2 linked regions of the Caenorhabditis elegans genome follow. The protein of the gene in region 1 interacts with the protein of each later gene in a pairwise test. Each region holds a gene or a part of one and is shown on either strand. Other genes may lie near its edges.

What was found.
Region 2: the proteins of cul-4 (region 1) and cdt-2 interact in a two-hybrid assay, tested with the Caenorhabditis elegans proteins (one study listed by BioGRID).

Annotation. Positions count from the first base shown.
Region 1 is NC_003280.10:7,299,883-7,306,292, forward strand, and holds cul-4 (Cullin-4), read left to right. Parts: upstream 1-2,218; 5' UTR 2,219-2,228; coding exon 2,229-2,330; intron 2,331-2,376; coding exon 2,377-2,484; intron 2,485-2,530; coding exon 2,531-2,609; intron 2,610-2,650; coding exon 2,651-2,698; intron 2,699-2,743; coding exon 2,744-2,847; intron 2,848-2,894; coding exon 2,895-3,086; intron 3,087-3,132; coding exon 3,133-3,465; intron 3,466-3,519; coding exon 3,520-3,880; intron 3,881-3,964; coding exon 3,965-4,075; intron 4,076-4,121; coding exon 4,122-4,340; intron 4,341-4,386; coding exon 4,387-4,895; intron 4,896-4,940; coding exon 4,941-5,188; intron 5,189-5,539; coding exon 5,540-5,648; 3' UTR 5,649-5,876; downstream 5,877-6,410. Other genes in the region: C30G12.1 (uncharacterized protein), read left to right, coding at 2-110, 317-453, 499-653, 710-961, 1,074-1,336, 1,381-1,608; brf-1 (B-related factor 1), read left to right, coding at 5,989-6,151, 6,197-6,410. UniProt on the Caenorhabditis elegans protein: Component of cullin-based E3 ubiquitin-protein ligase complexes which mediate the ubiquitination and subsequent proteasomal degradation of target proteins.
Region 2 is NC_003283.11:14,987,047-14,993,018, reverse strand, and holds cdt-2 (WD_REPEATS_REGION domain-containing protein), read left to right. Parts: upstream 1-1,892; 5' UTR 1,893-2,025; intron 2,026-2,099; 5' UTR 2,100-2,106; coding exon 2,107-2,223; intron 2,224-2,275; coding exon 2,276-2,420; intron 2,421-2,471; coding exon 2,472-2,666; intron 2,667-2,719; coding exon 2,720-3,178; intron 3,179-3,662; coding exon 3,663-4,269; intron 4,270-4,695; coding exon 4,696-4,998; intron 4,999-5,049; coding exon 5,050-5,272; 3' UTR 5,273-5,472; downstream 5,473-5,972. Other genes in the region: T01C3.3 (RING-type domain-containing protein), read left to right, coding at 347-881, 977-1,134; T01C3.2 (Transcription and mRNA export factor ENY2), read right to left, coding at 1,446-1,583, 1,627-1,701, 1,748-1,831; F02D8.4 (Peptidase M14 domain-containing protein), read right to left, coding at 5,563-5,764, 5,818-5,905, 5,952-5,972.

The sequences.
Region 1 (6,410 bases):
GTTCATCATCTTCATTTGATTCTTTCGAAGCCTCGTTTCCTACAATTCCAAAATTCTGTGGAGGGTATGATGATTCTATTGAAGTGGTGTTGGATTCTTGTATTGTTCGAGTAAGTTTTTTTTTCCAATTGTGTATAGTTAGAACCATCTGGTTTTAATGTAAATCTTCAATATTACGGTATCAGGGGTCGACACGATCGGAAATTGATAGGTCAAAGACGCTTCGAGACCAATTACCGTATTCTTTTGTCAGAATCTATGAAATAGTCACTTCACTTTTTAATTACTACAATTAACAAATACGGTTTTTTTCTAGAATAATCACGTCTACGTTGGAGATCATCTTATCCGACCATTAACAAACTTTGAGAAACAGAAAATACAGTTAGTTAAAATGAGACGAATGTATGGAGAATCAAAAAGGAAACGTAGCAAAAGAAGCTCGAAACCATTGTAAGTTCATCCAATATTCTGCATTTTCAAATAATCTTGTTTCAGGCCTGGCACACGACCACAAAGAGATTTTAGTGAAATGCTTCACAAACTTTTGAATATTAACTCTACAGTAACTTCTCGATTCCTTCCAGTAGTTAGTCAAAGTCCTCTCTTTGCAATGGAAGGTCCGTGGCAGAATTTGTTTGAACTCGGGAAAGGTGATTTCCTTTCTTCGAGATATTTGTTATGAAAATTAAACATTTCATTATTCCAGATAAGGATATGATTGAATTATTAGCTGCTTCACAATTTAAACCCCAATTACCACCCGTTGCATCAGTTCCAGTAGCTCCAGTCATTGATATTACGAAGATTGATTCTCCGTATAGAGCCACTTTTACAACAATGAAACCAAGAAAATCACAGAAACCAGAAAAAAAGAAAGAAGTTTTCAATGTTTTCACTACTAAAACTAATCCTCAAATTACCACGACTACTATGACAACCACAACAAGAACATCCACAGGTAACATCTACAAGACAACTATTTGAAAAATTCAGTATATACAACATTTTCAAAATTGCAATTTATAATTAATAAATTAAGTTAACATCCGATTAAAGCTGTCAATTTTCAGCCATTCCAACAACTACCACAACTCCAAGACAAATATCACTTCAAACGATTCCATTTTCAACCACAACTAGACAACCAAATTTTGATAAAACCAAGACTCCTGCAACAATGCCATCAGCTTCTTCTTCTTCACTTTCAAGTATTCAAACAGTTGTTGATCCAATTATCTTGAAGTTAATTTCAAAGGCATTGGAAAAAAATGAAATGATTGATGAATATTCATTGAAACAGGCTCTATCGATGAGAAATGTTGCAACTACTACTGTAGGTTTAAATCTTTAATACATCTGAATTATCAATTATTTCAGACTCCTCTTCCACTTCGTTTCATTCTTCCAACACCTGCAGCCCCAAATCCATTTCTACCGTCTACAAGAGTTGGAGGTCTTTCTCATAATCATCTATTCATTCCCCATCAACCGTTTACTACTCTTGTTTCGACCGATTCTAGATATTCTGCACCGAACCCTCTTTCTCATCGACTTCCAAACGAGATTTGCCGAGTTCATATGAATTCAAATCCTTTCCATTTTTAGTTTTATTACTCTACCAAATAATTAAACAGACTTTTCCTATCGGGTCCCCTAATTTTCTTTCATTTTTCAGGCATCTCGGTTGTTTTTTTCAAAGTATTTTGACCTAATTTTCCATGTTGAAATTAATAAAATATTTATTAAATGAACACAAACACAGATGTTGGAATTGTCTTCTTCTGGTCAAGTACTGGATATACTCTCTTTTTTTGATAATGCTGAATTGATAAATTTTTGGTTCCAATGAAAGGATCAAACATTGTAGAAAATCTTTACAAAAATAATTGTAGACCTACTATTATAATAAATACAGTTTTATGCAGAGTCTGCGTCTCTCAATATGAACAGCCTCTCAAGCACTAGAGATGCGCCAGCACGCCGCGCGTCAGCAAACGTCTTTGGCCTCAGTTTGCCTTCAAAATAATGCATGAGTTCGGCATTTCAAATATTATTTAAGCCAAATTGTTTTTCTAAACTGCGGAAATCTAATTTTGAGAAAAGGAAATTTTAAATCCAATCGTTTTATTTTAATCTTAAAATATCTTTCTATATAAAACCGCCAACCGTCCTGTTTGTTTCTTCAGAGATACTAATAATCTAACATTTTCAACAGAACAAATTGGATGACATCTGGAGCACCACCGACTATTTCAACAGAAAAAAGTCGAAGTAAACAGCTTCGAAAATCGTCAAAGCGCACAGCCAGCACCGTTGAAGGTACAGAGGTAGTAATTAAATAATATTTTCAATGTGAGAAAAAATAAATTGCAGGCTAAGCAAATGCGCGGCGACACTGAAAATCGTTCCGACGGAGAAATGGACGATGTTTCAACAAGCAGCGAAATCAGACATGGAAATGGATTTATTGAGAATTTCAGAGTGAGTTATTAATTTATTAAAATGTTCATCGGTGGGAAGTTTTCAGAGTCAAACCGGCAATTCTTCACGCACAACCGCAACAAATGAACGCATCAAAAAGAAACTTGTGATAAAGAACTTTAAAGGTAATATTTGTAAAGTTTTCATTAGTTATTTTGATTTCCAGCGAACGCGAATCAAAATGATGTTGCGATGGGGGACACCAATATTGATAGTAAGTTTATTCTTCGATAGGTGTTATATTTTGTTTGATATCCAGGTACAGACGGATCAGTTGGTAGAGATTGGGCTGTTCTTTCGGATAATGTTTTCGCTATTCTTGAAGATAGGAAAACAGTAACCACTTTGGAAGGCTTATTCAGCGTAAGTTTTTGATTGTTTAAAACATTGTAAAAACTGAGCGTTTTCAGAAGGTCAGATCTGTGTGCGATAAAAATCAATCAAAAGTACTTTACGATCGTCTCGTTGCAATTGTTGTTCAGTTTGCAAAATCATTAAAGGAGTCGTTAAATGCGGTTGAGCAAGTTCCTCTTGCAGAAGACAATTGTGAGCAATATTTGGAAAAGTTTGGGCAGATCTGGCAAGCATATCCAGTTAAAATCGTAAGTGAAGAGTTTTATTTAAAAAAAAACAATAGATTTAACTCAGAATCTCATCAGGAATATTTTTCTTCATCTGGACCGAATTGCGCTCGGCGCTACAGACACAGAAATTCTCCCTTTGTGGGAATGTTTCATGCAAATATTTCAAAAAACATTCTTCCCGAACATTTTCAAGGAATTCAAAGCAACAAAACTGTTCAATGCTCTCTATATGGCGATGCAGAAAATTATGCAGAGGTATCCAGTGGACAGTCCTCTCAGAAGTCTTGTAGATATGCTTCAAACAGTTCATGTGTCTGAAGAATTTGCAAAATTCCTTATTAGCCAACTTCGAGAGCACTATAACAATGAGAGAATCGATAAAGTTCCAAAAATGAATGTAGGTTTTTATTTTCATTCTTTGAAAAATCTCGATTACTTATATTTATTTTAGTGCAACGATTACATGGAATACTGTGAAGACCAGATAAATCGATATTCGCAATTAGTGAAAGTGAACTTTGATGAACCGTCGGCTCTAAAAGATGTTCAGGCAACAGTGACAAACTGTCTCATTCAACAAGCAATTCCTGAAATTCTCACACATGATTTTGACGATCTTATCGATTCTGATAACATTTCGGATATCGGCCGAATGTTTAATTTGTGCCGTCAATGCGTTGGTGGAGAGGATGAAGTACGTACACAATTCTCAAAGTATTTGAAAAAACGCGGAGAGAAATTGATTGCTACGTGTCCTGATGAAGATCTTGTTTCTGAGCTACTTGCTTTCAAGAAGAAAGTTGATTTTATCAGTAAGTATTTCAAAGTTCTCTGTTATTTTTATTATTATCAAAAATTTTAAATTCCTCATACGTGGATCATTAATCATATTTCAGTGACTGGAAGCTTCAAATCCGCAAATGATCCAGTAAAAATGAGACAATGTTTGTCAGATGCCTTTGAATCTTTTGTAAATAAACAAGTCGATCGATCTGCAGAACTTATTTGTAAGTCATAATTCGAAATTTCTATATTATAATTTCTATTTTTCAGCAAAGCACTTCCACACACTTCTTCACAGTAGCAATAAAAATGTATCAGACGACACAACTCTCGATCAAATGGTAGATGAAGCTATTGTGTTGTTCCGATATCTTCGTGGAAAAGACGTTTTTGAAGCATATTATAAAAGAGGTCTTGCTAAGCGGCTTTTCCTTGAAAGAAGTGCATCTGTTGATGCTGAAAAGATGGTTTTATGCAAGTTAAAGACAGGTATTTAATACTTTTTAGTTTTCAAATTAATAACTTTTTGATTTAGAGTGTGGCTCGGCGTTCACATACAAATTGGAAGGAATGTTCAAAGATATGGATGCATCTGAAAATTATGGAAGATTATTCAACCAATATCTAGAACATATGAACAAAGAAAAAGCGAATTTCACTGCTCGAGTCATAACTCCAGAATATTGGCCAACCTATGACACATATGAAATTAATATTCCAAAAGAGATGAGAGATACACTTACCGATTATCAAGATTTTTACCGTGTTCAACATGGAAATCGGAATGTTAAATGGCATCACGGACTGGCTTCTGCGGTTATTTCTGCTTCATTCAGGCCTGGATGTAAGAAAGAATTAATTGCAACAATGTATCAAACTGTCATTCTTCTTCTTTTCAACAAATGTGAGACATGGACTGTCGCTGAAATTGTTGAGCACACTAAGATTCTGGAAATTGAAGTCGTCAAAAATGTGCTTGCACTTCTTGGTGGACGTGATAAGCCTAAGGTTTTGCAGAGAGTCGAAGGAGGTGGATCCGAAAAGGTAACTAACTTTTCATTCAACTCAACTAAAAATGTCTTTGTTTAGAAGGAAGGTACTGTGGAAAATTTGAAAAACGAGAAATTTGTTGTAAATTCTAAATTCACGGAGAAGCGCTGCCGAGTTAGGATTGCTCAGGTCAATATAAAGACAGCTGTGGAAGAGACGAAGGAAGTGAAAGAAGAAGTGAATTCTGATCGACAATACAAAATTGACGCTGCTGTTGTAAGAATTATGAAGGCTCGAAAGCAGCTAAACCATCAAACTCTAATGACGGAGTTATTGCAACAATTGAGGTAAGTTTTCAGAAAAAAAACTTTATTTTTAAATTCAAAAAATTCAATCAATTTTTTATTCGAGAAATAGTAATATCAATATAAGCCGAAAAATAAAAACTGGTTTTGAAATTTTTTATGAAAATATTGAATGTAAAATATAAATTGGCACACAACTACAAACCAAAATCAAAGGAAATGTAAAAATTGAGAACTTTTTCAATACTCTCAAAAACATAGCATTTAGTAAATTAATATGAATTTTGACATTTTGAAGCGATTTCCTTGATAAAAATTTGTCTAAATTTTGCTAAATTTGCTGCTAAGGTAAAATAAATGTTAATTATTCTAAATGAGTTTTTTTTGTTTCAGATTCCCCGTGAGCACCGCCGATATCAAGAAACGCCTGGAATCACTCATCGAACGTGAATATATATCGAGGGATCCTGAAGAGGCATCTAGCTATAATTATGTTGCGTAATACATAATATCATTTTTATTCCTTTTTCAAATTCAATCCTTATCCGTGCCACTGGTCTCTTCTCATCTCGTTTGCCCTGTTATTGAACAGTTTTCTTCCTTTATTTGTGCGAGTTTCGTCTTTTTTAGAGAAAAATGTACTAAATGTTAGTTTCTGTTTTTTCAATTATGTTTTTCTCTTCACCTAACATGTGCATCCAAAATACTGTTGAATACATGGTTATTTGATTGAATTCTTTATACGAAATTACTCGAATCGGTTGAAATATCCGTGATCTTACATTTTTTTGGTTTTTTTTTTCTTAATCAATTTTCAAAGTTTCTCGTTAAGCAGACACAAAATGGTTCGAACCTGCTCGAACTGCGGAAGTTCTGAAATTGATGAGGATGCTGCTAGAGGAGATGCTACGTGCACTGCGTGCGGAACTGTGCTCGAAGAATCCATTGTCGTAACTGAAAATCAATTTCAAGAGCGAGCTGGTGGATCAGGTCACACTCTAGTCGGTATGTGGTAGGAATGTTAAAAGTATTTACAAAATGTTATTTCAGGTCAATTTGTGTCCTCAGAGCGAGCTGCAGCTAACAATTTCAATGGAATGGGATCTCAAGAATCTCGAGAAATGACGTATGCAAAAGGCCGGAAAGTTATTGATGAGCTCGGCAGTCAGTTACGAATAAATTCACATTGTATGAACACTGCATTCAATTTTTACAAAATGTGCGTATCTCGTAACCTGACACGTGGACGTAATAGATCATCCGT
Region 2 (5,972 bases), on another chromosome or scaffold:
GATTTAAATACAGTTTTACATCAAAAAGAACACAAATCAATGAAAAAACAAGGACTACGAGAAAAAAAAACAAAAAGTGTGTTTTGATCTTGATCTTGACCCATTGCGGCTGGCGGCAAAACTTGGATTTTCATTTTTATGCGTTCCAGTTTCTTGAGCGTTTCTGAGTGTTTTCGGCGCATTTCTGGTTTTTTTGGAGTTTACAGCCTTTTTCAGAAATTGTTTCACTCGATTTTTCTATTTTTTCTGTGCATATATGCACAGAAAAAATATATGGTTTCCATTTTCCGAGTATCTTCAAATCTGCGTTTTGATTTTTTACTTTTCATTCTAATTTTCAGGTAAGATGTCGTCTAGTGGCTCTCCACCTTCCACGCTTGTATCGACTTTCGAGGAAGCAATTGCGAAGTTGACCTCACTTTTTGGCATGATGCGCATGATGGAAGCAGAAATTAAGGATCAGCGGAACAATCTTCAAGCATTGAAAAATTCCCAGCGCCTGTCTGTCAGAGGAAGCATTCAGTCAAATATGTCGAGCAGGACGGATGGAATTCTTCAACGAAGACTAGATGAGACGGAGAGAAAGTTGGCCAAAACTTCAGCCGAACTCAAGGCCAAAGATGAGAAGTTGAAGAAGGAGACGGCAAGTCTTGAAGCCAGTCGTGAGGCTCATCGATTATTGCAAGAAGAATCGAACAAGTCGAAGGTGTCTGTGATGCGCCTTACGTTCAAGCTCAATCGCATCACACATGAATCTGTGAAAGAGCAGGCTGTTCTGAAGAAGAAGCTTCTGGACTGCGAGACCCGACTCGCTACATATTCCGAGTGCCTCGTCTGCTACCAGAAGTTTGACGAGAACACAAGAATTCCACGTGTCATGGGTGAGTAAATAAACGGATTTAAATGCTTGCTTGATTATAGATTATTAAGCTGAACTCTTATCAATTTCAGTCCAATAATTCTATCAAATTTTCAGACTGTGGACATACTCTGTGCGACTTCTGCATCAATCAGATTGTCAAGATGGCGGGTTGCTACAGCGCAACATGCCCTTTTGACCGTGTGCGCATTTTTGGATTTGGGAAGAGTCGTCGTCTCGAGGATCGCCCTTGCAATCGATTCATCATGAAATAACTGCTCCCATTTCTACATTGAAGACTCACTTATTGTATTGTGAATACTCTTATGTACATTGTTTTATCGAGAATTTGTAAATAGTATTATACTTGCACCTCTAACCTTTTTTTGCACCTTTAACCTATTTTATTTAGATTTCGTTTACAAAAAAGAAACAATAAACATTTCATGTCATGTTTTTCCTCAAATTCTCCGTTCTGTTATTGGAATTTACACCGATGAGAATCATGTTGCGTTCAATTTTTTATTGAAGAAATTTTACAAAATATAATGAGATCACAGTTGATTTCTTTCCTCGTAAAAGCGAATCATTTCTTGTTAGTAGTTGTGACGAATTCGAGAACTTGATCGTAGAGCTTCTTCTTTGCTTCTTGTGGAATTTCCCTTCTCGCCATATCCTTGACAGCATCGAAAACCTCCTTGGCACTCACGTCATCTCTGGCTTTCTGAAAAATGAGAATTAAGCGATTATGTTTGAACGAAACTGACCTCCAAGAACTTCTTCACTTCTTTCCTCACAGCGATCTCCCATTCACTATTTTGCAGACTGCTGAGTAATGTACTCTAAATTTATTGGAATTATGCCACCGAATTTTACGAATTTACTCACTTTTACAAGCGCCGACTCTCCACTGTCTTGAAATTCCATTTCGATCTGCTCTGGCTTCTTACGCATGATCAGGTCGTCGTTCATTTTTCTTTTTTTTTAGTTTTCTGAAAATTAACATAATTAATAAAATAAAACAATGCTTTACAGCAGATTTTAAAGAGAAAAACGAAGACATACACAAAGAAAGAATATGTAAAAGGTGTGTCGATTTACGATAAACAACACGCGGGCGCAATAGTGGAGTGTCGTAAGATCCGCGAAAAATGTGAATTCGAAAGGTTTCTTTTTTCTACCATTTTATAGTATTTTCTACCATTTTATCATTTTCTCAACTAAATTTCACTTTTTTCAGATAAAATATGGATTTTCTCCATTCAACAAAAGCTAGAAAAAGATATCTTCGATATCCATCATCAATATATGAAGAATTAGAATCAAAACATTATTCTATGCCGGCCGGAGAAACCGATGATCACGTAAGATTTTGCTGAGGAATACGCTGATAATTTCATAAAAATAGTATTTCAGGACACTTGGGTAACAGCCAGGTTTTCGCCTCACTTGAATCAAGAGCACATTTTGTACATGGGAGATGATCCGGGAAATATAGGAATTTTCGATGTTCGCAAGTTTCAAGATCGATCAGTGCCTTTGGAAGAACGGCAACTTTATTGTGATCTGAGCATACCTTGATTGAGGAATTTAAAAATCAAAAAGATTTCAGTTTTTCCCGCTCACGATGGTGCAATTATGGACGTTGTAGGTGTTCCCCAAAAGGAATCGCAAATTGTTTCAATATCTGGAGATTCTACTATTCGATGTTGGGATTTAAATCAATCTACGTTGGATCGAAAGTCCCAAGTGTTTTTTGGACACGAAGGATCTGTACGGTCGATCTGTTTCGCTCCGGATGATCCTAGTAAGTGTTTTTGATATTTTAAAAAATTTTTCGTGATAAAAATTTAATTCCAGACGTTTTTGTGACCGGTGGACGTGATTTCCAAGTCAAAATCTGGGATATGCGAGTATCCACAGTGAAGAAGATGGAAGAAGATTGTCGAATGGCAACTATCACATACAAGACTGCACATCCAAAACCATCAAAAGTATTAACATCAGGAACTCCTAAATCAAAAGCAAAAGCGAAAACGATAGAAGGTTATAAAGTGACAAGTGTTCTTTTTCTTGATGAGCATCACGTGGCAAGTGCTTCAGAAAATGCAGATAGTGGAATACGAGTCTGGGATATTCGAAAACCGACAAGAAACGGAGAAGGCCAGCCAGCCAGAATTCTAAAAGTTCCCACATCCAACAAAAAATCGTATGGGGTGACTTGTCTGACATTAGATCGTTTTGGTAATCGACTGTTTGCGTCATGCACCGATTCTTCAATTTTCGAGTACTCCGTTCCATCGGAGTCTGTTTCACCGAGTAAGGTTTATCGAATTTGGGTAGAAATCTCAGAAGAGAAAATCAGATTTATTTTTTAGCCGCGGCAAATCTACAAATTTTTTCATTAAAATTTAGTGATAGAGTATAAAAAATCATTTGATTCATATGAAAGTAGCTTATTTTTTAGCTGGGACAATTGAAAAAGTGCTCAAAAATCGCCGTTTGCCGAATTTTCCGGTAATTTTCAAGACAAGTTTTGAGCACTTTTCAATTTTTTTCGACTAAAATTATAGCTAATATCAGAAAATTCAAATTTTTTTTGCCATATTTTAGCACTAAATTTAATGAAAAATACTAGAAGAACATGCCATACTAGCCAATTTTGTAGAATTTCTGGTATCTCATCAATTGAGAAAGTCACAAACAAATAAAAGCATTACTTTGTGGCATTCCATGTCTTGTGCTTCAACCACGTTGCCGACACATGTTCTCGATCAATACACAAAAAACCTTGAACTTTCAGTTAATTCCTACACTGGCGCCACCATTCACAACTTTTATACCCAAGTCGCCTGCTCTCCGGTTTCTGATGTGATCGCATGTGGAAGTGAGGATAGTCGGGCTGTTGTTTGGGATCTTCAGGATCAATACAACTACATGAATGATCGAAAACTTCCGGATGATATTGACAAGCGGAGAACGAAACTTCCGCGATTTTCCTGCGATGGTCATCTTAAGCAAGTGTTGAACGTCGGATGGAGTTCTCGTGGAACATATTTCATGTCTTGTGATGAAGGAGGCGTCCGAATCTGGTCAGAGCCTAGGAATAGATGTACATGGAAGTTGAATGACGAAGATGATACCTCTTACCCGACTACTTCCCAGGAGCTCGGACTTTCATACGAAAAAATCAAGAAATTTGAGCTAAAAGAATCTGATGAAGCTATGTCGTGTTTCGATAGTATTTCCTTATCACCCAGACAGCGAGCTGATTCTTCCGGACTAAGTGGATCACCACAGAAGAATCGAGGATCGAAAAGACCTATATTTGAAAGCCCGTTAAAATCAATTTGCACAAATAGTCCAAAACCTCTCAGATTGAATAGATCTCCGAGAGCCAAGATGAGCAAGTAAGGAATATTTATCAGAAAAATGCAATCGACGTGGAAGCGTGCTCCACGGCCAATTGAAAACGCTCCGCCCCTACAAGCTGGGTCTCGTTAGGTGTTTGGCGGCATAACTGTAATTCCAAACGTTTTCAGTTCGTTTCGCCAATTTTCAACCATTTTCGTCTTAAAAAAACTACAATTTTCGTTGTTTAAGGTTTTTTCATTTTACTATATCTTTTCAATTTCGGCAAAAAATTATTAAACGCTTGCAACGAAAAATATTTTAAAAATCAAAAAAAAAACCTTGAGATCGGCGGATTTTGCCGTCAATTCCCAACGAGACCCAACATTTTGGGGCGGAGCGTTTTCAGTTCGCCGTGGAGCGCTCTTGCACCTTTTCGATTTTAAGTATACACTTTTCGTAAGCATCTAAAAAAATTATTTCAGATTATCTTTCTCCCCACCATCACCACTTCAACCAACTAATTCAAATAACCAGGATCTTGTCGGCTACCGTACTCCCCGACAAATCCGTAACAAAAAGAAGAAGAATAATCCATTTTACAACGAGCATCCAACTGAGGGTCTGCCAAACTTTGTCTACGATACATTCGTCAAAAAACTCATAGGAGAATCTTCAAAATCTGATATTGAAGATTCCGGAAAATCGTTGAGCAAGACTGGACAGAAGAGAATCGAAGACTGGTGGCAAACCAAGGGAGAAAATGTGGCAACAGTGACAAGGGCGAGGTGAAAAAATTATTAAAATTTGTCATAAATATTCAATATTATAAGTTTCAGACTCCCAAGTGTCAGTGAATTCGGTGAATCAGCATGCTCAAAAGTTATAACCGAAGACGAACGGATCGCTCTTCACTCTCCGCGTAAACTTGTTCTCAAATCATCTTCAACCCAATCTCCGTGCCCATCAAATTCAAAGCCTAAGCCCATCCCAATGACTCCACGAAAACCGATGGATAAACGACCGACAAGTCGTAATCTGTTACACTACTTCAAAAAGTAGAAATTGTGTGTAGAATTAATTGTTTTATCTCTTTCCCAACCCATGTTGCTATGTCATAAGTATTTTCACTCCCCTTCCCCATTTTCATCAGTTCTAAACTGTAAATACGTTCCTTTTTTTTCGTTTTTATCCCCGAAGCCTAATCATCGTCGGTAAAATAGTGAAAATCTGTAAAAGTAAATTAAAATTTTTATTTTTAACCCTTTGTTAGAAACAATTAAAACAAAACAACTGAAAATGTCATTTTTAAAAACCCGTTCCTCTCTTCTTCCTGCTACTCCGTTTGACTTCTACCTCCCACGACCAAATCCACGATTTCCGATTGTCCGTAAGCGATTCAGTAATAGTGTCGATTGAGCAGATGATGCAGTTGATGACGTCATTTGTTTGAATCCGAACTTGGACTTGACCTCGATCATGAGAACTTGAATAGCCTGGAATGCTTCTCGGCACACTTGATTGATCCGATCTTCTGGGAGGGAGAATCCAGTGCTGGAAATTGAAAAGTGGGTGAAAATAAAAAGAAAATAGTCCGGATAACTTACAAATCATCAATTGGAGAGAGCTCGATGGTGTAGGAGTACTTGATTCCACGAGACTTTGCCCAATCATCTGATGCTCCAGCGGCAGGATCTGAAATATAAAGTTTACCAGAATAATCGTATCGTCGGGAACTTACAAAGGCCATCTCCAGAGTTTA